3 linked regions of the Oryctolagus cuniculus genome follow. The protein of the gene in region 1 interacts with the protein of each later gene in a biochemical or structural test. Links are inferred from orthologs where the notes say so. Each region holds a gene or a part of one and is shown on either strand. Other genes may lie near its edges. The genes, in order: LGALS3BP, LGALS3 and LGALS1.

What was found.
Region 2: the proteins of LGALS3BP (region 1) and LGALS3 form a complex in vitro, tested with the Homo sapiens proteins (4 studies listed by BioGRID). The link is inferred for Oryctolagus cuniculus from reciprocal best matches to the Homo sapiens genes LGALS3BP and LGALS3.
Region 3: the proteins of LGALS3BP (region 1) and LGALS1 form a complex in vitro, tested with the Homo sapiens proteins (2 studies listed by BioGRID). The link is inferred for Oryctolagus cuniculus from reciprocal best matches to the Homo sapiens genes LGALS3BP and LGALS1.

Annotation. Positions count from the first base shown.
Region 1 is NC_091448.1:2,762,195-2,769,622, reverse strand, and holds the start of LGALS3BP (galectin-3-binding protein), read right to left. Parts: upstream 4,770-7,428; 5' UTR 4,616-4,769; intron 3,395-4,615; 5' UTR 3,374-3,394; coding exon 3,322-3,373; intron 2,642-3,321; coding exon 2,450-2,641; intron 1,616-2,449; coding exon 1,484-1,615; intron 825-1,483; coding exon 581-824; intron 106-580; coding exon 1-105. Other genes in the region: CANT1 (soluble calcium-activated nucleotidase 1), read right to left, coding at 7,297-7,428.
Region 2 is NC_091443.1:21,357,393-21,364,268, forward strand, and holds part of LGALS3 (galectin-3), read right to left. Parts: intron 5,063-6,876; 5' UTR 5,059-5,062; coding exon 5,041-5,058; intron 4,493-5,040; coding exon 4,193-4,492; intron 3,371-4,192; coding exon 3,282-3,370; intron 2,270-3,281; coding exon 2,104-2,269; intron 1-2,103. UniProt on the Homo sapiens protein: Galactose-specific lectin which binds IgE. May mediate with the alpha-3, beta-1 integrin the stimulation by CSPG4 of endothelial cells migration.
Region 3 is NC_091442.1:114,553,881-114,561,518, reverse strand, and holds LGALS1 (galectin-1), read right to left. Parts: upstream 4,569-7,638; 5' UTR 4,284-4,568; coding exon 4,278-4,283; intron 3,108-4,277; coding exon 3,028-3,107; intron 1,465-3,027; coding exon 1,293-1,464; intron 1,192-1,292; coding exon 1,045-1,191; 3' UTR 994-1,044; downstream 1-993. UniProt on the Homo sapiens protein: Lectin that binds beta-galactoside and a wide array of complex carbohydrates. Plays a role in regulating apoptosis, cell proliferation and cell differentiation. Inhibits CD45 protein phosphatase activity and therefore the dephosphorylation of Lyn kinase.

The sequences.
Region 1 (7,428 bases):
CGGCCGCAGAAGGCCTGCAGCTGCACGGCCCCGTAGGCGGAGGCCAGCTTGTGGAAGCACTTGACCGACCCCAGGGACACCTCGATCCGTCGGGAGTACAAGTACCTGTTGGGGGGGGGGAGGCAGAGGTGAGGCTCTGGGCCCCGGCTCGCCGCCACTCCTGGGCACTGCCCTGCACATCGGGCAGCCCTCGGGAAACCCACTGGCTCATGGCGAGCACCGTCTGGAGGTCCCAGGGTGTCGGCCTACGGAGACGGGTGGGGACAGCCACCTCTATCACTTCCTCCCCCGTGACCGTGGGCGTCACCCCAGGCAGGTGTTCTGCGCCGGGAGCAGGCGCCCACTGTCCACGCTGTATCCACGCCCACAGAACATCTGGGGAGTTCCTGTAGTACCACGAGGTCGGGTTTCTTATACTGGGTTTCACGAAAATTCACACACGTGTGCGTGTGCGTGTGCGTGTGAGCGAGCACACAGATGCATGCAGGAAGCGACACACCTGTGAGAGTGCCGAGGCGGGTGCGTGTGCGTGTGTGTGTGCACACGCGTGTGTGTGCGCGGCTGTCACCCGCGCCCTCACCTGACGAAGGCTCTGACCACAGGCACGCACTCGGGGTCCACGGTCAAGGTGATGTTGCTGCCCGGCTCCGCCCACAGGGCCTGCGCCTCGGGGTTGGCGGTCAGGATCAGCGTGTGGGCACACAGGCGCTCCTCCTGCCCTGTCACCTGGAGGAACAGGTCGCAGCCCCGCTGGCTGTCGAAGATCTGACCCAGGGCATCTGAGAGCTCCCCGGAGAGGTCGAGGGTGTGCGTGCTTCTGGTTTCTGCAGGGGCCGAAGGAGGCGAGCGTGAGGGGGCGTGGCTGCCTCCCCCCACCCCCACCCTGCACCCAGCCAGAGCGTGAGGGGGGGACACGCCTGGGTGCACTCTGACCCCGGAAGACCCGACGTGGCTGCCTCCCCCCACCCCCACTCCGCACCCAGCCAGTGAGGGCAGCTGAGGCCCCGGCTGCCTCCTGCAGCTCTGTGTTGGGCCCTCTGCCCAGCTCTGCGCCCCCAGGCCCAGGCAGCAGCTGCGGGGGCGGGGGGCGGGGGGCGGGGGGCGGATTGGGTGGCGCCAACCTCCAAGCCCCACAGCCATCAGTCAATCAATCATCGGAACAGAGGGAGGAGCGAACCACGGCAGACCTTTGCCCGGGGCTCACGCATGCAGAGCCGCGGGGGGCCAATCAGAGCGGGGGTGGGGGGCCTGGGGGGCATCGCTGGCTGTCCTGGCCTCTGCGCCCCGGGAAACGGACAGGCCCCAGTGCTGACCCAGCAAGTGCGAGAGCTGTCGTGGTCTCAGACCGCGAGCTGACGCCACCGTCAGCCGTCGTGGCGTCCGGGAGGGACTGTGGAGCAGGTGCGGTTCCCAACCGCCCGGCCCCTCGTGGGCTGTGGGTGGGCAGCACCCCGGGGCCCCGGGCTGGAGGGCGCACACGCACCGTTGGTGCAGACCACGCCCGCGTCCTGCGCGTGCCTGCAGTTGCTCTTCAGCCAGCCCAGGGACCTGCATTCTGCCAGCGAGGACTCCGTCCCTGTGCACACGACCTCGTCCAGCATCACGGGGCCTGTTCCTGTCGGCGCAGCAAAGTGGACAGGGCCGGGGCGTGAGCAGGCGCCGGGCCCGTGGCCGGGGCGGCAGCTGCTTGTCAACGCAGCCCGTGCAGGCAGCAGCGATGGCTCGGGCTACGCACACGGAAGCCTGGATTGTCTCCTGGCCTCCGGCTCCAGCCCTGGCCCAGAGATTTCGGGCATTTGGGGACGGAACCAGCAAACGGGAGCTCCCTCTGTCGCTCACTTGAAAAAATGCTCAAGTATTATTTATTTGAGATGGAGAAACCTCCCGTTCGTTCCCCAAATGGCAGCAACAGCCGGGACTGGGCCAGGCCGAAGGGCCAGGAGCGCCCACTGCGTCTCCCACAGGGTGGCAGGAACCTGGGTACGTGGGCCGTCACCTGCTGCAAGCTGGACTGGACGGGGGCGGGGCGGCACTCGGGCTGGGATGCAGCTTGATCCACGGACCCACACACCTGCCCTGGAGGAGACTTTTCAGAAAACGGGGGGCTGGTTTTTGGGGTTCCCGCGCCTCTGCAGCGTGCGTCCCCTGTATGCAGGCCTCGGACCGGGCTATTCCACGGTGCCGGTCCAGCGTGGGTTTGGATCTCTTACGGCCAACACCTGGGCTTGGCTCACGCTGTGGGCCCCGCCGCTGCGAATTTGGGTTTTTCCCCTTTTTTTCCAGACTCAGTCAGCGGGGAGCGGGCACTTCCTGCCCACAGATTCTCCTCGGGAGGGAACGGTTCAGGATCAGGCCCAGAGGGGACTGGCCCAGCACGGAGCGGCCAGAGGGAACAGGCCCAGAGGCCTTGCAGCGGGCCTGTCTCAGTGCTGGGCATGGGCAGCCCCACCTGGCCCGAAGGCGGCTCTGCCCAGAGCCTCGGTGGCATTCTGGAACCCCAGGGCCCGGCAGACGACGCTGGCGTCCGTCAGGTCCCAGAGGTTGTCGCACACGGTCCCCCACTGGCCCCTGTAGAAGATCTCCACGCGGCCCTCGTTGGCTGCGTCCCCGTTGGCCAGCCGCATGTCCCCGTCCTTCTCGCCTGCGGAGAGGGCAAAGGTCAGCTGGACGCGGCGCCCACCCAGCAGCGCGGCGGTTGTAAGGGCTTCCCCGGTCAGGCTGGCCGGTCCCTCACGTCAAAGCGCCCTCCACCCTGGCTGGGTGACACCCGTGCAGACCCCGCCCCCAGCCCGCGAGGCTGACTTGTCTCCCTGGTCCGCGTGGCCGGAGCTGAGGACAGGGACAGGGACACGGACGAGGAACCGGTGCTCTCCAGCACTGGACAAGAGGGGCAGGACCCCAGAGAGGACTGGGTGGGGGCCCTCGAGGGCAGCCGAGCAGGGGCGTCCATGGGCTCCAGGACTGGCGAGGGGGAGGGGGAGGGAGGTGTCCAGGACCCTTGGAGGCCTGGCCTGTGTCCAGAGGCTGCTGGCCTCACGACCACCCCCGCCACCGGCCTATGTGCTTGCCCCCATCCCCACTGGGGACAGAGTTCCTGGGTCCCCTCCCCATCCCCCCAAAGCCAGAACCCGGGGTCCCCGGAAGACACAAGCCACCCTCATTGGGTACCGCCTGGCTTGAGGCAGGAGAGACCTGGCCAGCACCTCCCAGCTCTCCGGAGGAGGGGCCCACCCCGACCCCAACCCCGACCCTGACCCCGCGGGGCAGGGCGGCAGCAGGCGCGTGGACTTCGGCCCTGGGCACCTCCCGGGCTCAGCTCACCTCGAGTCCCGGCGAGCAGCAGCCACACCCAGAAGAGCCGTGGGGGGGCCATGGCCTCCCTGGAGCCCTGACCCTGCAGCAGAAGGAAGCGGCGTGAGCCCGCACCCCGACCCGTCCTCCACTCCGCTGCGGGGCACACAGGGACCCCCTCCCGCAACCCCCCCCCGAGATCTCCCCATGATGAACAAGAAGGCGACCTGTGCCATGGATGCCTGGGGGGGGCTGTGCCTGGGCTGCAGGCAGAGTGAGCCTGGGCCAGAGGCAGGGGCGAGGGAGGGGGAGGCGCAGCCGGGGGCCCAGGGCGCGGCAGAGCCCCAGAGGCACCCAAGGCGGGCAGAGGGGAAGGGAGGTGAGAGGCAGGGCAGGGGCTCCGACAGGAGTGAAATCCGGGCCCCAGAGAGGCTGGGCTCGGGTCGGGGAGGAGGGGGAGGGAGTCCCTGCCTGGCGGGTTCTCCCTGCAGCTCCGTGGGAGACGGGCGTGTCTGAGAGCCCCTTGGGGGGAGGCCAGAGGGGGACGACGTGGACTTCGGCTCCGGTCCCCAGGACACACAGGCTGGGAGAGGCCGTGGGGTCCTCCCCAGGGCACCTCCCACCCCCGTCCCCGCCCGCCCTGCTGCCCCCGGCAGAGCCAGCGTTTGCTTCTCTGGGACACCCGCGGTGGCCACTAGCAGCACTGGCTACAAGCGGGGGCCTGGACACCCGCCAGGCAGGCCCGGCTCCTCACTGCTGCGCGAGCGCTGGGACCCAGTGCAGCAGTCTGTGGGGGGCCCGGCGTGGCTGCCCGCACTACGTGGTCACCCAGGGCCCCTCGCACAGTAGCTGTCCTGGCCCCAACGACCGTGCAGGGGCTGCTGTCCAGGGAAGCCAAGGGCTCCGCGCGCCCTTCACGGGCAGGAGGGCCAGGGCCACCTGCTGTCCCTGCCCCACTTCCCAGGGAGCTGCAGGGCCGGCTTTGTTCCCTTGGGGACAGGAAGTCAGGGCCCCGGACATGGGGGCCACGCGAGGCCCTGGCACGTGGCCGCCGCCCTCCGTGCGGTGCTGTCGTGCAGGTGAGAACAAGGCCTTGGGGCCAGGCCCGGGCGGGGACGCGCAGGCCCAAGACAGGGCTGAGGGCTCAACGCTGGCCCCTCCTGCCTCGGCCGGGTCCCTGTGCAGGGAACAACCACACACAGAGGCCCTGCGGGCCCAGGCGCGGCGGGGGTGGTCCCTGGACTCGGGAGCCCGGGGCGCCCTGCTCCAGGCCCGGTGCCTGCAGTGTGGCCCACGCTGGCTGCCTGCGTAGACAGGGGCTTACCTGCCTGGCACAGGTGGCTGTGCGGGAGGCTCCCGCCTCTGCTGGAGGCCCAGCCTGCAGTGTGGAGGGGCGGCCCCAGGAAGTGCTCCAGGGAACAGGGACGACTTTCGATTCCCACAAACCACCTGACTGCAGCCTCCGCTGGGGTTGGCTGCAGCTCTGCTGGCCAGGCCCCCTCTTCCTTCCTGCTCTGGCTGTGGGGGTGGGGATGGCAGCCACCCAAGTTCTGACAACAAGACCTACAGCGAGGGGCAGGACCACAACACGAAGGCCAGCCTGGGACAGCGGAGCAGAGGCCCTGGGGCAGACGGCAGCGCTGTGTCCTGGCAGGGTTGGGCCCAGCACGTTGCTGGCTGGGTGGGCAGCCCACACCCCGCCAGGCTGCAGGGCACTGACCCCCGCAGGCAGTCGGGCAGGGGGCCCTGAGCCCTGGGAGACCAGGAAAGCGGCCGGCACGTGGCTGAGCTGGAGCTGCCCCAGTACCTGACACCAGGGCCTGGCCTTGTCCACGCTGGGCTGACCACCCACACTGCAGAGCGGTCACTCCCCTAACGGGAACACGAATGGCCCCGCCCAGCACACACCACCCCCCCCCGCCTCCATCCCCAGCTGCGAGGTCCCAGGGCGCCCTTGGCCGCAGGGATGGTGTCGGGGAGGGCTGTGCGCCCAGACAGCCCAGCGGGAGCAGCGTCCTCTCAGGGGATGGCGCCCTGAGCCACCACGCTGGGTGTGAGGTCCTGGGCCCAGCGGCCCAGTGACCCGATCAACATCACCTCTGGTTTCTTTTCTTAAAAAGATTTATTTATTTGAAAGGCAAAGAGGGAGAGACAGAGAGGGAGAGAGACAGAGGTCTTCCATCTATTGGTTCACTCCCCCAAACGACCACAATGGCCAGAGCTGAGCTGATCTAAAGCAGGAGCCAGGAGCATTCTCCGGTATCCTATGCGGGTGCAGGGGCCCAGGATTGGGCCATCTTCCACTGCTTTCCCAGGCCACAGCAGAGAGCTGGATCAGAAGTGGAGCAGCCGGGACTCGAACTGGCACTCACATGGGATGCCGGCCTCATGGGTGGCGGCTTCACCAGCTGAGCCAAAATGCTGGCCCCCTATCTCTGGCTTCTGTTCCTGCGTCCCATGGGCCCAGATGAGGGCCCCGAACAGAACCACCTGGAGCTGCACGCACTCCCAGGGGGCGGGGGCAGGCAGGGGCCCTGTCAGCACGTGGCAGCTCTGGGAGCCGCTGGGTGGGACCCGTGGCTGTTCCCCTGCTTGGTTCATCTGAGCCCCCGGGGGCCCGCAGGCCTGGACGGCCACAGCTGGAGGCAGAACCCCTCACCGCCACTTCTGTCTCCAAGGCCAAGGCTCTCTGCCAAGCGCCAGGCAGGCTTGGGTCAGACTCCGCCCAAGCCGCCCTCGAGGCCTGGGCACACGCGCGGCGAGGCGCCGACCCCCACCTGGATGGGCCACGGGCGGGAAGCTGAGACCGCTCTGGTCCACGCGGGAGGAAGTGGACCGGCAGAGCAGTGACTTCTACACGGAGCTGCAGGGTGCCCAGAGCCAGCCTCCTCCCGCCTCAGGCCTGTGCGACCAAGGCCTTCCTGACAGGTGTCCCGTGGGGGAGCAGCCCGTCCCCAGCCCCTCCCACTCCACCAGGCTGGGTGCTCCCCAGGGCAGACCCCGCTGAAGAGTCAAGGGAGACCAGGAGGCAGGAAGAACACAGTTCCCCTCTGTGGCTTTATTGTTTACAAAACACAACAGGCCCGCCCTGGGGCCTCCAGAGCCAGGCTGCGTGGTGGTCACAGGGCCCGCAGGGGACGCTGGGTCCTGGGGCCGCGGCGCCTCCGCTCCCGCGCTGGCGGCTGCCCTGGGGTCTCGGTGGAAGAGGCGTGCAGGGAGCGGCCCAGCAGCAGCCAGGCCACGGCGTGGCACGGAGACGGCCTTCCCAGCTCAGGCAGCGCCTGACCTCTGCCCCAGACCCCGCGGGGGGACCGCAAGCCGCAGTCTGGGCCAAGAGTGTCCAGAGGAGGGGCCCGGGCCGCACGGCAGCCAGGGTCGAGCCCACGGAGTCGGGAATGAAAGCCTCAGGCGTCCGTCGGAGTGGAGCGAGGCGCACGTGCCAGCGCTGAGAAGGGCGCCCTTTCACCTTCGTGTCCGACGGCCCGGGCTTGGAACGGCCACAGGGAAACGTGAGCGCTCACTTGGCTCCCGTGGCTGGGCTGTGCCCCCTCGGAGGGGCCGGCAGCCACGGGGCTCTCCTGGCTTGGGCCCTGTGAGGCTTGGGAGGGGCCCCGGGCCGGCTCCCACAGCCGTGTGGGCATGCCCTCCACGCAGAGCCAGGCCCTCCCACACCTGGCCCACCTCCCACTCTTTGCTCTTCCTGGTCGGGCACCACACGCACACTGCGCGGGGCTCCGGGCGGGAAAAGAGAGGTCAGCCAGAGCCCCAGAATCCCGATGCCTGCCGTGACCCACGTCCACCAGCAGGGGCAGCGCAGAGCCGCCCTCAGGCCCCGTCCCCAGCTCGGGGCTGCTTCTCTGGGTTTGGTGACGTTCACGCAGGCCCAACCTCGGAGCCCTGGGAGGGGAACAAACCCAACGCAGCCGACGAGCCCTCCGGCGTTTACCAGATCCGAGTCGGATGCCGCCCGCGCCGGCCCAGCCCTGCCTGCCCCGGGCCTCTCCCTTAGATGAATTCGATCCCTTCGTACTTGACGGTCCCGATCTTGGTCTCCGGCAGGAGGAAGCGGCCGTCCAGCGTGAAAGCCATGACGTAGCTGGCGACTCTGCCGCTGTCCTCCTCGGACTTGAGGGCCAC
Region 2 (6,876 bases), on another chromosome or scaffold:
CTAGGACTGGGCCAAGCCGAAGCCAGGAGCTTCATCTGCTCTCCTGCATGGTTGCAGGAGCCCAAGGATTTGGGTCATCTTCTGCTTTCCTAGGCACATTAGCAGGGAACTAGATCAAAAGTGGAGGTATTAGGTATCAAACTGCCACCCATATGGGATGCCAGCCTTGCAGGTGGTGGCTTTACTACTATGCCACAATGCTGGCTGCCAGCATTTCATCTGTATTGTCATTTGTGGAACTGATGAAGATCTCCAGAAAGTAATTTTATAGCAAAAAATAAAATCCAGGTTATTCAGATTTAAACAACAAAAAAGGCAACAAAATTACTGGAAGGGTATAAAAATGAAGCCATAAAGGAAAAGGTTACTAATTTACTGATAAACACAAAAGTGGGCTCAGCATTGTGACACAGCAGGTTAAGCCACCATTGGACAACAGGTGCTGGCTTCAGTCCCGGCTGTTCCACTTCTCAACCAGCTCCCTACTAATGTGGCTGGGAAAGCAGTGAAGGTTGGCCTGAGTCCTTGGGCCCCTACATCCCTGTCGGGAGACTGGGATGAAATTTCAGACTCCTGACTTCAGCCTGGCCCAGCCCGAACCATTGCAGCTATTTGGGGAGTGAACCAGCAGATGGAAGATCTCTCTCTCTAACTCTCCAGTAAATAAAAGTTTTTGTACAGCCTACAAAAACACTAAAATAGGAACCCCTTAACAGAGTTGCAAATGTTACAAAGATTAATAATAACCAGTGTTGTTTTTTATATATATATTATAGTGAATATATATATATAGTGAATATATATATATATTCACTAACTGTTCAAATAATGTGTTTTCTCTGCCCTGGTTTATATATATATATATATATATATATAAAAAAAACCAGGGCAGAGAAAACACATTATTTGAACAGTTAGTGAATTTTCATCCTCACATTGTTTGGAAGCCACAATTTGGCAATATCTTCTCTAATTTTATACATGTGTATTCTTTGAAGAAAATTACCCTTATTGGAAGCAAAGACTTATAATGATGGTTATTACAAACTTAAAGTGAAGTAAACAAGCTTTTGCAGGTTTTCTTTCCTCCAAAGTTTCATCTGTAGGATTAAGTGGGCACATGTCTACATGATGACATACTGTCCAGGCAGTGCTCTGAGAAGGAAAGATGCCCACAAAATGCAGACGCAGCTCCCTGTACCTGCACTTAGGAGCTCACAGTGTGTTCTGCCGGCCACCCTGCAGTCAACCCAGGCCCAATGCTGTGGAGCTAGTATGTGTTTTGGTGAAACACTACTTAATAAAAAGATTGTTGTGGGTAACAGAAAATACTCGAGGAGATACCAGGTTGCAACCTCTGTGAGGGTGGGGATGGGGAGGGAAGATGTCTCAGTCAATTTAAAAATCTATAAATCTTCCATAAAGCATACGTATTCAATCTATAATTTTTTAAAGCTTTGTTTTGGTTGCCATGCCAACTATGTTTTTTAAGGAACTAAGTCTCAATTTACCTGTACCATAGATATCCTACTTTTTTATTAAAGATGATATACTTTATTTCTAGAAAAACATAAACTCGGAGGGGTGGGACAGTGATAATCACAAGGCCACTGAAAGGAACTGGGGAGTGTGCCACTCCTGGCCTGTTCCCAGCATGGTAGTGAGGAGACAGACTGGTTAGATGCCCCAGGACAGGTGGTCAATATTCATCTCAGTGGGAAGCAGGAGTTTCGCACATTGGGTTAAGATGCTGCTTTGGACACCTGCATCCCATACTGGGGTTCTGGGTTCAAGTCCCACCTCAGCTCCGAATTCCACTACCCTGGGAAGCAACAATGATGGCTCAGGTAGCTGGGTCTCTGCCACACACTTGAAGTGGGTTCCAGGTTCTTCCTGACTTTGGCCTGCCCCAGCGCAAGCTGTTGTGGGCTTTCAAGGGGTGAACCAATGGATGGAGCACGTTCTTTCTGTGTGTCTCCCTCTCTGCCTTTAAAATGAATCAAATAAATACAAGCTAAAAATAATTTCATGTCAAGTACACTGACTCACGAGTCGCCATGAGAAATACATTTTACCAACAGAATGGCAGCAGCAGTTACTTACTTTGAATGGTTTACCAATTTCAAATGGGAAAGTCGTCTGCCTTTCTTCCCTTCCCCAGTTGTTATCCACCTTTGTGTTGCAGACAATGACTCTCCTGTTGTTCTCATTGAAGCGGGGGTTAAAGTGGAAGGCAACGTCATTCCCTCTCTTGAAATCCAAAGCGAGTCTGTTTCAAACCAAAGACCACAGTTACTACAGTGATTAAAGCTGTACATTTGTATCAAGCGCACATTTTGTTCATAACAGAATGGGTTCAGACTGGAAATATGCCAGGCCCAGTATTCTATGTACTCCCCTAAACCTAAAGGCCAGTGAGTCAATATGTATTACATTATTCTGGCCTCTGTCTTTGGTTATACCATTCCCATTCAGCTGTAAGACCCTCTTTACAGATTCCACTCATGCAAATCCTTCAAGATTTCCTTCTAGAGGGTTAGGACCAGGTTGTGAACACTTTGTATTTTATGACAGATGATGATTCGCTCTCTACTGCCTTGCCAGGGTGCTTTCCATACCTGTTATGGGCAACTGTACATAAAACCAGAGTATCGGATACTGGGCTTTGTCATGGTTAACAGAAACAATGAGATCATGCAGTTCATGGGCAGTGTCCTGTTGCTAAGCTGTAAAGTCACAGTAATAGAAGTGTTGAACATCCCATAATGGGAGGTGGGACCAAAGAAAGTGCTGCTTTAACTTTCTGACCCTGTTCCTGTCCTTGGATGTTAACACAAAGTCCCCTGTTAAAGGACTAACTAGCCGATTGCTGAGTTTCTCCAAGCGTGCCACCAGCGAGCTAACACGAGAATCAGCTGAGGTTCTGCCTTTAAAGCAAGGCCTGGCGTGGCCACTTTGGCACAGCAGATCAAGCCACTGCTCCAGACATCCACATCCCATATCAGCTACTCCGTTTCTGACCCAGCTTCTCGCTAATGCATCCTGGTGGGCAGCTCAAGTGCTTGGGCCCCCGCCACCCACTTGGGAGATCTGGATAGAGTGCTGAACTACTGACTTTGGCCTGACCCAGCCCTGACTGCTGTGGGCATTTGAGGAATGAACTAGCAGATGGAAAATCTCTCTCTCCCTCCACCCCTCACATTTCAAAAAAATAAAACTTTACATAAAAATAAAACAACCCAGCAGCAAATGCATGCAGCTGGCTAGCTTTGCCTCTTTACCTGTTTGCATTGGGCTTCACCGTGCCCACAATCGTTATCAGCATGCGGGGCATGACTCCTCCAGGCAGAGGCAGGTCATAAGGCACAGGCTAAGAAAGAGAGAACGTGCACAGCAGTTAAGAACTGTGTTTGCTGGGACAAACAGAACACGCGATGTGGCTCAAGGCCCGGTCCCGTTACTGCAAGTTGTGCGGTGCTTTCCTCGTGTTTATGCGGTACCTCCCGACTAGACTCCAGGTCTGGAAGGGAAGGCTCTGACACTTCCATGTTCCAGATCCCCACCACCCCCTACCCCGCTGCCCCCTCAGCTGTGTTTTATGTTTAGAATTCGCTTGTCAAATGTATTTTTAATGGAAATTCAACCCTTGGGCCACCACATTATCTTCAGCAGTGTTTGTCAACCAGATTGCCTGGGCTTTCCCACACATTCCTACAATGACCCTGGGCCGGTTAGCAAGGGGACTTGAAAGAGCTCATGGGAAAATGGGATGAAAAGATACATTTATTTCGGTACTTGAAAGCTTTGAAATCCATGTATAGTTTTTTCCCCCCAACACACAACTACCATGAGCTTTTGGAATACGTCTCCAAGAGCGTCCCCCCAACCTGTTTGCTCAGGTGGAAGCCGAGGGTAACAACAGCATCCTAACACCTGCTGCTGCACATGCTAGGTACTCACACAGGTTTATTCGTAATAACCACCAAGCTTATTCGTAGTGACTACGCGCTTCACTTGGTTGATAGGAAAACTCTGGCAATGCCATCAAACGTGCGTCACGCATCATTGTGCGTGCAGAACACACAGTAAATGCACCCTGAGCAGTGATCTCTACTGCACCAACACCCAGCTGTGGCTCTAAGCCCGCAGACAACGCTTCAGCAAGTACACGAAATGACTAATTCCACCTTACCAGTGGTCCAGCAGAGGCGCTGTAAGGGCTGGCGCCAGGGTAAGCTCCAGCACCACTTGGCTGTCCAGGAGACGGGTAGGCCCCAGGACCACCTGGCTGCCCAGGGTAGGCTCCATGTGCTCCTGGGCCAGGGTAGGGGCCAGGAGGCGCTTGCCCGGGATAAGCTCCAGGTGCATGTCCAGGGTAGGCCCCAGGATAGGCTGCCCCTGGGTAGCCCCCTGGCCCAGCAGGCTGGTTCCCCCATGGGCCAGGCCATCCTTGGTTTGGGGGGTGTCCAGACCCAGATAGGGCATCGTTGAGCTGGAAAGAAAGACATAAACAATGGCAGGGCAGGAAAAAGACACAAACAGAGTTCTCTGGAAAACAAAAAAATGTGGTGTAACAAGTGGAAGAAGGTAAACTCCCAGCAATACATTTTTCCCACCTATTAATACTTTTGAGTTCCCCAAACTACAATCAGCTGATGGGATGGTGTTTTCCACTTTCTGCTTGCCTCCCAGAGCACGGAGGGCTGCATTTGGGTGATGCACTCAAGTCAGGAGCTGGCTCCTCCCGGACAAGCCCTGGCTTTGTCATCAACAGCAGAAGAGCGGCTGCAAACACCACCCGCCCCACGTCCCCCGGCCAGCAGGACCCGCCCTGTTCTGTCCTGGGCCTTTGCGGGGAAAGGGCTGCTCTTGGTGAGTCTCAGGCCTCTCTCTGCCTGGCTTTTCTTCCAGAACCTTAGACACCCTCACTGGCCAAAGCAGGCCCAGAGGCAGCCACGTGGTGGGAGACCAAGGGGAAGAGTCTGGTGGCGGCTATGGGAAATGGGTGTTAGGGTAAGAAAACAGACACAAGACACTCACCGAAAAACCATCCGCCATTTTCCTGCAAGGGAAACAAAAAAGACAGGTGAGCATTTGACCCTAAAGCAGCTCACGGAGGTCCTTCAATGTGCACAGCTGCAGTCAATCCACAGGCAAGGAGCCAGAAACATCTCACCGGGCCAGCAGGATTGTGGAACCCTATTTAACTCCTAAACGGCAACCTGGGCCACCCTGGCTCGCCTTCTGACTCGTGAGGGTGACAGGTCAAAGGCACAGAGGGAGAAGGAAGGAGGAGGAACATGTCTGCCCCTTTGCCAGGGGAACAGTGCACACAGCGGTGGCTTCGCTCGGGCGCCGTCACCTTGCTTCCTGCCATCTTCCGGGCCCTCCTTCCAAAGGGTTCTAGTGTGTTAAGATCACCTGCTTCGCACGCCGCCTTCAGGGCTCTAGGAGAATTGCAGTGTGGGTGGATTCCTACTGAGACACCCAAGACAATGACCTCCAGAGGTTCCTGTTTGCTGCACACCGTGGTGCTGCCCTGGGCCAGTCACTGTGCAGGCTGCTATCTGAGTGTGACGAGGAGAAGGCTACGATCAGGATGGTGCGAGGACTCACAGGCCAACAGGGCCACTCAGGTGGAAACGTGAAATACTGAGAGATCAGGGCCATTAGCAGGTGCGGTGGGAATTCAAGCCCAGAGGGCTTCCTTCTAGGAGGAAAAGGCAAGGTGGTGTTGGAAAGAAACCATGACAGCCAAGTGCAATTTGGATGTGCCTTTTTTTTTTTTAAAGGTACTTATTATTCCAAATAAAATCTCGGGCAGTGTAACAAACCAAGGTGGAAAAGTCAGCCAATGTGACGGGAAATACGGGAGGGTAGGAGCTAAGCAAGAGGGTTGTCCTGCCCGAAGCTGCCATGAGGACTGCTGCTGAGACATCATTTCTGCCCTCTGCTGCTCCCTCCCCTGTGCCAAGCCTCCCAGAGCACGAGGTGCTCTCTCTATATGAGGGAGGATCTTCAAAAAGTCCATGGAAATGTGCATGATGCAAAAGCTATGCATGGACCTCAAAACTTTTTGCATCAAAATAAAGCTATCTTTGAATTCCATTTTCCACGAACTTTTTGAAGTCCCCTTGTCCCTGCTCCTGCTGCAAGGGCCCAGGTAGTGCAGGGAGGAGGGCACTTTGCCCCCAGAGTCCTGGGTGAGTTCTTTCTAAACCCAAGATTGTGCTGTGGCCAAAGTTCCCTGGACCTTGACCCAATCAGAGACTCATGTCCCTTGATTTGTTCGCTGGTGATATTTACTCAGTCCTTTTAGGAAATGACACTGTCCCCAAGAGATAGAATAAATTATGACTTGATAGGCCCTACAAATATAAAACATTACATAAAGCCCCTCCTAGGACTTAGCATGTGATTCATTTACACACACTGGATATTTTATCCTATCTCCCTGTTGTGTATTCACAACCACACATTGCGCGTGAATGTTTTTTGCACATCTCATTTTTAGACCTTAGGGAAGCAGCCAGGTTACGACCTTGACCCCCTTGCTTGCTGTGAGCTTAACAAGGAAGTTACCGTGACGCCCAGGGCTCGCTCCACCACCCATTCGCTGTATTTGCTACAGAACTTGACCTTCTAAAGCCCCAGCCGGCCGCTCCTCTGCTTGCGCCTCCTTTCCCCAAAGGCTGCTGCACTACTGAGCAAGACACTGCGCTGCTACCATGGGAGGGAGCTGAGAGAGGAACTGTCATGGAAAAGGCAAAGGAATGAAATGTCCTAGGCCAAGAAAATAAAGCCTCTCACTTTGCACACCAGGAGGCAACCTTGAACTTCTAGGTGGGCAGAGAGCATCGCTGGGGAAACACAGCA
Region 3 (7,638 bases), on another chromosome or scaffold:
TGCCAGCACTGCAGGCAGAGGCTTAGCCCACTAAGCCACAGCACCAGCCCCAGCCGGGGGGTCTCCATCACCCGAGAGCCTGTCTCTTCCCCTGCAAATCGGAGTGATAACATCTCAATAGTGCAGGAGGGACCATGTTTGGGGCACTGAACTTTTTGATTTTTTTAAAAGATTTATTTATTTGAAAGGCAGAGTTAGAGAAAGAAAGAGACAGAGAGAGAGGTCTTCCATCCACTGGTTCACTCCCCTAATGAGCACAACAGCCGAAGCCAGGAGCCAGGAGCTTCTTCTGGATCTCACGCGTGGGTGCAGGGGCCCATGCACTTGGGCCATCTTCCGCTGCTTTCCCAGGTGCATCGCAGGCAGCTGGGTCAGAAGTGGAGCAGCCGGAACATAACCCGGGGCCTACATGGGATGCTGGTGCCGCAGGCGGAGGCTTAGCTCACTACCCCACAGCACCGGGCCCTTGGGGCACTGAACTTGGCCTTCATGAGACACCCCATTCAGTATCCACAGCCACCCAGTGACGGGAACGGACGTTACCCCTGCTGGTGTGCTGGTGAGAAACCGAGGCTCAGAGAGGCGCGCAAATGTGCACCAGGCCACCCAGCAGGCAGCCCCACCCCTCTGCCCTGGTCTTTGCACAGGCAGCGGACCCAAGGCCCCGGGTTCCTTCCCTGCACCTCGCTCTGGCCTGCCCTGGTCCCCTCTGCGGGCAGTAGGCTGCCTCGGCCTCTGTCCTCCTTGGCTTCATTGTTAGGGAGCATCTTTTGAGCACCTGCTGTTTGCTGGGGCCCACTGGGCCGGGAGCAGTGTGAGGGCAGGGAAGGGGGCCCACTCTGTTAGCACTGAGCCCCCTCTGACGTGGCCCAGGGGTACCACGTATCAGAGGGGGTGACTGAAAGTGAAGGAGGCAGCTGGGCGCGGGGTGGGGGGAATGCCCCTTACACACACACACACACACACACACGCGCGCGCGTGTGCACAGGCGGGTTCAGGGTGCAGAGGCAGCTGCCTTTATTGAGAACCGCGAGCCTGCAGGCGTCAGTCGATGGTCATACACTTGACCTTGAAGTCGTCACTGGTGTGCAGGTAGTCGATGGTCTCTAGGTTGAGGCGGTTGGGGAACTTGAACGTGTGCCCGTCCGGGAGCTTGATGAGCAGATCCTCTTTGTTAAAGGAGAAAGTCACCTGCGGGCGGGAGGGCAGTGAGAGGGGTCGGATGGGGGCGGGGTTCAGAGAGGGGAGGGGCTGCCCCCCACCCCGCCCCGCCCCGGAGAGCCCTCGCCCACCTCGGCCACGCTGCCCGGCTGGAAGGGAAACGCCTTCTCGCGGTGCTCCACGCCCCAGACGCCCTTCTCCTTGCTGTTGCACACGATGGTGTTGGTGTCCCCTTGGGAGTTGAAGCGGGGGTTGAAGTGCAGGCACAGGTTGTCGATGTCTTGGCCCAGGTTCACGATGAAGCTGGGGGGAGGGGAGGGCTTGAGGCACTGCAGCAGGCCGTGGCTTCCACCGCCCCCCCCCCAGAGCAGCCCTCCCCTCGTACCCCCGGAGCCTGCCGAGCTGGACGCTCACTGATCCTGTGTTCTCTCTGGCCCTGTGTGACCTGGAGCTGGCCCCTCACAGGCTGTGCCTCGGTTTCTCCGTCTGTACAGTGGGTGCTGCCCAGGAGGCTGTCTAGGGTCTTTTTTTTTTTTTTTAAAGAAAGTCCCACACTCAGAAAACTGACCTTTTTTTTTTTTTTTTAAGATATTTATTTGAAAGAGTTACAGAGAGAGAGGGAGACACACACACACAGAGGTATCTTCCATCCAATTATTAACTCCCCACATGGCCGCAATGGCTGGGGCCAGGAGCCAGGAGCTTTTTCTGGGTCTCTCATATGGGCGGCAGGGCCCCAAGCACTTGGGCCATCCTCCACTGCTTTCCCAGTCCATTAGCAGGGAGCCAGATCGGAAGTGGAGCAGCTGGGACTCGAACCAGTGCCCATACGGGATGCCAGGGCCGCAGCCGATGGCTTCACCCACTGCTTCACAACTCTGGCCCCTGTCTTAAGGCCTTGAAAAAAAAACTACTTATTTATTTGCAAGCCAGAGTTACAGAGAGATCTTCCATCCACTGGTTTACTCCCCAAGTGGCTGCAATAGCCCGGGCTTGGCCAGGCCAAAGCCAGGAACTCCATCCTGCGTGGCAGGGGCCCAGGTACTTTTGACCATCCTCCGCTGCTTTGCCAGGTGCATTAGCAGGGCACGGGATCAGAAGTGGAGAAGTCAGGACCCGAACCGGCGCTCATATGGGGCGCTGGCATCACGGGCGGTGGCTCCACCCACTGCGCCACAGTGCCTGCCCCATCTCTTAGAGCCTTGCGGGGCTGAAAGCTCACGACTCCTGCAGACACTGTGTCCTAGCCCCTCCAGAAGGTTCCTGTCTGTCACCCCTGGCGCCCAGCACAGAGCGCCACACAGCAGCAGAGAATCACTGGGACAAATGGACGCATGATGCTGCCCCACCTCTGCACGCTGGGCAAGAACCAGAGGCGACTCACACCGGAGGCTCCCGACAGCATCTGCACTCACTTCCTCCTCACTCCGCACCTCCCCCACTCATCTTACTGATGGACCGAGGCTCAGGGCGGAAGATGGCTCACGGGTCCAGGGTCACACGGCGTGCGGCAAGAGAAGACAGAAGCATCGGCCAGCCACCGCAGGAAGGAGGGCCCTCTGGGAGGCCGGAGGGGACGCCCCCTCATCCCCTCTCCCCGCCCCCACGCTGGCTGCGGGGTGGGGAGAAGGGGGCGGGGCCTGGCGGGAGGTCTGCAGCTGTTTTAATTTAAGAGACTCGGGGAGAATGGTGGAGGGGCCAGACCCAGCGGAGGAAGTGACTCACTCAGCAGCTGCCTGTTAACCCGCTCCCTGCCAGGAGGAGCCGAAGCTCTGGCCGGCCACGCCCAAACCCGGTACCCGCCCAGACGGGACCCTCAGCTCAGAGCCCTGCACCTGCTGCCCGCCGCCCTCCTCCGAGCCTCACCGACTGGCGCTGGGGGCCACCTCGCCACGCACCAGGAGGCTCTGCCCAGGCTGGAGTTTCAGGTTGTTGGCCACCAGACCCTGCGGAGACAAGAAGCCGCCCTGACACGTTAGGGGCCGTGGCCTCTGCTGCCGTGGTAGGGGGCGTGAGGGTGGTCCTTCCCAGCTTGATTTCTCTGAGCAGACCAGCACGAAGCCTGGGGGGTGGGGCAGAGCAGTGAGTTCTGGCCCCTGAGTCTCCCTGTGGACCTGGGAAAGACCCCATCCCCTGCCTGATCTGCTTGCATCTGTACCCAGATGCTGCTTGGGGATTTGGGGTTACAAGGGGTCTGGGAGGTAGGGTGCTATGCTCTGTACCCCATTTAGAAGGTGGAGAGGAGCGGGGTCCTGGTGGGGTAGGTCCCGCTGAATGTAGAGGGAGTGGCCTGAGGCTGCAGCAGCGACCCCCACCCTCTCCAGCCCCTGTCTGCAGAGGCATGGTGGCCACAGAGGCGCGGCCAGGGCCCTGTGCAGGAGGGACAGCAGCCAAGGCCGGGGCTGCAGCCAGGCCGGCTCAGGGTTAACACGGCCGAGCCACTGCGGGCAGCCGGGCACTGGCGCGGGGGGCAGGAGGGCGGGAGTTAACTGATGTGAGTGGTTCCTTCTGCCAGCAATCAGAACCCTTTCCCTGGGGGCCTGGGAAAGCTTCTGCCTCCTCCCCACCTCGGCCTCCAAGCTCGGGGTGACGTGGGGGCCCCCCCAGCCTCCACCTGACCAGGCTGGGCAGGACCACCCACCCCCCTCACCCAGGGAAGGCCCCAGCCGGGCAGCCTCTCTTAGGTCCCGGCCACTCTGTAGAAGTCTCTGGAGCAGAGGAGGATTCTGAGCTGGTCGGGTGACTGGGGACAGCTGCAGGGGGGAGGGGAAGGAGGCTCTTTGCGGTGGAAGAGAGGAACAGTGGCCTGGGCCTCACCAGTCTACCCCCCACCCCCTGCCCTGGCCCCGGCCACACCCTTCCCACTCCCACTTCATAGAGAACTACAGAAAGTCAGACTTGGCAGGAAGAACTGTCAGACCTTGAAAGGATCCAGAATATTCTTAAGCCAGAGAAGGCCTTGGGGGACCATGGTCCCCACCCCCATTTTATAGATGTGATCACTGAGGCCCAGAAAAGAGAAGGCAGTCCTCCAAGGCCACAGAGCTGGGACCAGAGCCCAGCCCCCGCTCCGCTACACTCTCCCCTGGACTTTGGGAGGAGGGCCCCACACTCACAGCCATGATTGAAGCGGGACGATGGGTGATCCCAAGACTGCAGCACCGGCTGTCCGGAAGGCCCCGCCCGAGAGATGGCTCCTGATGGCTCTCACCCTTTTTTAAGTGACCCGGACCCTGGTCTGAGTCCCGCCCCCTGGCAGCTCAGCCAATTGTAAGTCAGAACAGGGGTAGGGGTGGAGTCCATGGAATTTTGAAGCCAGTTCTGGAGCAAAGGGTACCAATCAGAGCGGGGAACTCCCTTTTTAGCCACGCCCCTGGGGCCCAAGCTCCACCTCCTATTCTGCCTCCAGCCCCGCCCTAATCTCCCCAAATTTGTGCTGTGGCAGAGACTGGGGGAAGCCAATGGAAAATAGTTGAGCTGGGCCCAAGAGCTGATGGGACGGGGGCCTGGGGCCAGCAGGCAGAGCCCAGCGCGTGTCTGGAGAAGGCAGGGGCGGGAGGGAGGGCGTGTGCAGGGGGCTCCAGGGAGTCAGCGCTGGGCTGGGGTGGGGGCTGCTCCCAGGCAGGGTCAGGGCGTGGCTCTGGCTGTGGGCACTGCAGAGGGATGGGGACCCAGGACCACAAGGCCCGGGCCCCCCCACAAGTGGGGCTGTGCTCTTCTCTGAGTCTAAAAAAAGCCTGGGCGGGGTGCCAGGCCCCAGCCTGCCAGCCGGTGCTCCTGCCTCGGTGCTTCTGGGAGGTGCGCGGCCGGACAGCTCTGCCTGAGGGTGCCCGGCCTGGGGAGCAGCCCGGTGGGCCCGGCCGTGAGGGGTTGGGGCCCCTGCTCTGGGCACCCAGTCTGCTCTCTTCACTCCCCCCTTTGCCCGTGCATTCAGCAGCTATTCTGCGCTGTAGCTCCCACATGCCTGGCCCTGGGCTGGCCTCAGGACCTCCGGAGACGACTCCCTCACTGTCCCTGTTCCCAAGGAGCCCACGGTTGGGGGACACCAACCGGGAACCTGATTAAGAAGCGGCACCGGGCCGGCACCGCAGCTCAACAGGCTAATCCTCCGCCTTGCGGCGCCGGCACACCGGGTTCTAGTCCCGGTCAGGGCGCCGGATTCTGTCCCGGTTGCCCCTCTTCCAGGCCAGCTCTCTGCTGTGGCCCGGGAGTGCAGTGGAGGATGGCCCAGGTGCTTGGGCCCTGCACCCTATGGGAGACCAGGAGAGGCACCTGGCTCCTGCCATTGGATCAGCGCGGTGCGCCGGCTGCGGCGGCCATTGGAGGGTGAACCAACGGCAAAGGAAGACCTTTCTCTCTGTCTCTCTCTCTCTCTCACTGTCCACTCTGCCTGTCAAAAAGAAAAAAAAAAAAAGAAGAAGAAGAAGAAGCGGCACAGTCACAGCAAGCCCTGTGGTGGGATGGAGACGCCGCAGGCCGTGGAGAAGGTGGGTCTCTGCAGGTGCGCAGGAGCTCAGGAATGAGAGCGCAGGGGTGGGAGCAGCAGTGGGCACGTGGCCCTGCAGGGGGAGGCTTGGGGGACTAGGCCGGGAATCCAGATTGTACAGGCTTCACAGGCCAGAGGAAGGGCTTGGACACAGTCCAAGGTGCCGGGCAGCCACAGAAGGTTCTAGAATAGTGAGTGCTGAGGCCCGACTGGGGCTGCAGAGATCCCTGTAGCAGCAGAGGCGAGGCTGGTGGGAGGGCGCTCCTCTCACATCAGGAGGCAGGTGCACAGAGGGCAGGGAGCGCTGGGCAAGGTGAGGGAACCCCCAGGGAGCCATCCTGGGCACCCCCTTCCCCATCCGACCATCACCGCCCGCAGCAGCTGGCGCCGGAGGGAGGACGATGCGGCTCTCAGTGACTCACTGAAGGCCAGTCCCTCAGCCGCCCAGCCCTGCCCTCGGGCCAGCCCAGCCCTTGTGCCCCTGGGAGAGGAGTGTGCAGGGCTGGGCTGTGCCTGGAGCCCCTTCGCCCTCCTCCCAGACAAGCAGCTCCCTCCAAAACCAACCGCAGTGGTTTCACTCTTTCCTTTCTGGCCTCCCCAAACCTCAGTCCGCTCAGGGGTGGGCGTGGCCTGCCCAGCCCCAGGCCTTCCCCTGGGAGTCCCCTCACTGCCCAAGGGGGAAAGGGGGCTTTTCAGGCAGGGTCTGGCCACCGAAGCTGAGATGCAGAGGGGGACCAGGCCTCAGGGCTGGGGGAACTGCTCCTGCATCCTTCCCCCAACCTAGAAAATGCGTCCAGTACCGCAAGTGTTAGCCACCAAACGGAGGGACCACCGTGCCCCTGTCTGGTGGGCCCAGGCTGGCAGGAGGCGGCACTGTGTGGCACCTGGGTCCCCAGAGAGGCCCTCCTGGGCACCCCTAGGACATCCTGATGCGTCCCTTTGGGCTTGCCTCAGTCTCCCCTTCTGTAAACTGGAGAGGAGAAATCGTGATGTCTTTTTTTTTTTTTTTAAGATTTATTTTATTTATTTGAAAGACAGAGTTACAGAGAGAGGTAGAGACAGAGAGAGAGAGGTCTTCCATCCACTATTTCACTCCCCAAATGACCGCAACGGCTCTGAAGCCAGGAGCCAGGTGTTTCCTCCTGGTCTCCCACGCAGGTGCAGGGGCCTAAGGACTTGGACCATCTTCCACTACCTTCCCAGGCCACAGCAGAGAGCTGGATTGGAAGTGGAGCAGCCAGGACTCGAACCGGTGCCCATACGGGATGCCGGTGCTGCAGGTGGCGGTTACACTGCAATGTTGGCCCCAATTCGGAAATTTCAAGAGTCATTACAAAATGTAAGTTGAAATCAGGAGATAAGGGAGATAAAAATAAAAAAAGTTATAAGCATGAAAATGTACTCTTGGCAAGAGGTTAAGAAAAGAAAATGTTTGGATAAAGAAAGGGCAGTGCTGGTAAGAATTTTCTGTCCTAAGGAGAATGCCTGGTGCATCCGAGATTGGAAGGGAAAGGTGGGGCAGAAGTGCCTGAAGATTTCAGCAAGCGGCAGGAAGTGTGAGGAAGGCACCGAGGCTTTGAGAGGAACAGATCTCGCAAGAAAAGTTCATGTGTGATAAGATCGCCTGCAATTTTGAAAATATTGTTTATGGCATTTTCCAGAAAGTAAGCATTAATACCAAAGATACCATCCTCTGTTAACAAATAAGCTTTATATATAATATATATAGATATGTCAGTAAATATCTGAAAACAGTCTGTTTTTTTTTTTTAAGATTTATTTGAAAGTCAGAGTTGCACAGAGAAAGGAGAGGGAGAGAGAGGGAGAGAGAGAGAGAGAGAGAGGTCTTCCATCCACTGGTTCACTCCATAAATGGCCGCAACAGTGTGAGCTGCTCCAATCCGAAGCCAGGAGCCAGGAGCTTCTTCCAGGTCTCTCATGTGGGTGCAGGGGCCCAAGGACTTGGGCCATCATGTACTACTGTCCCAGGC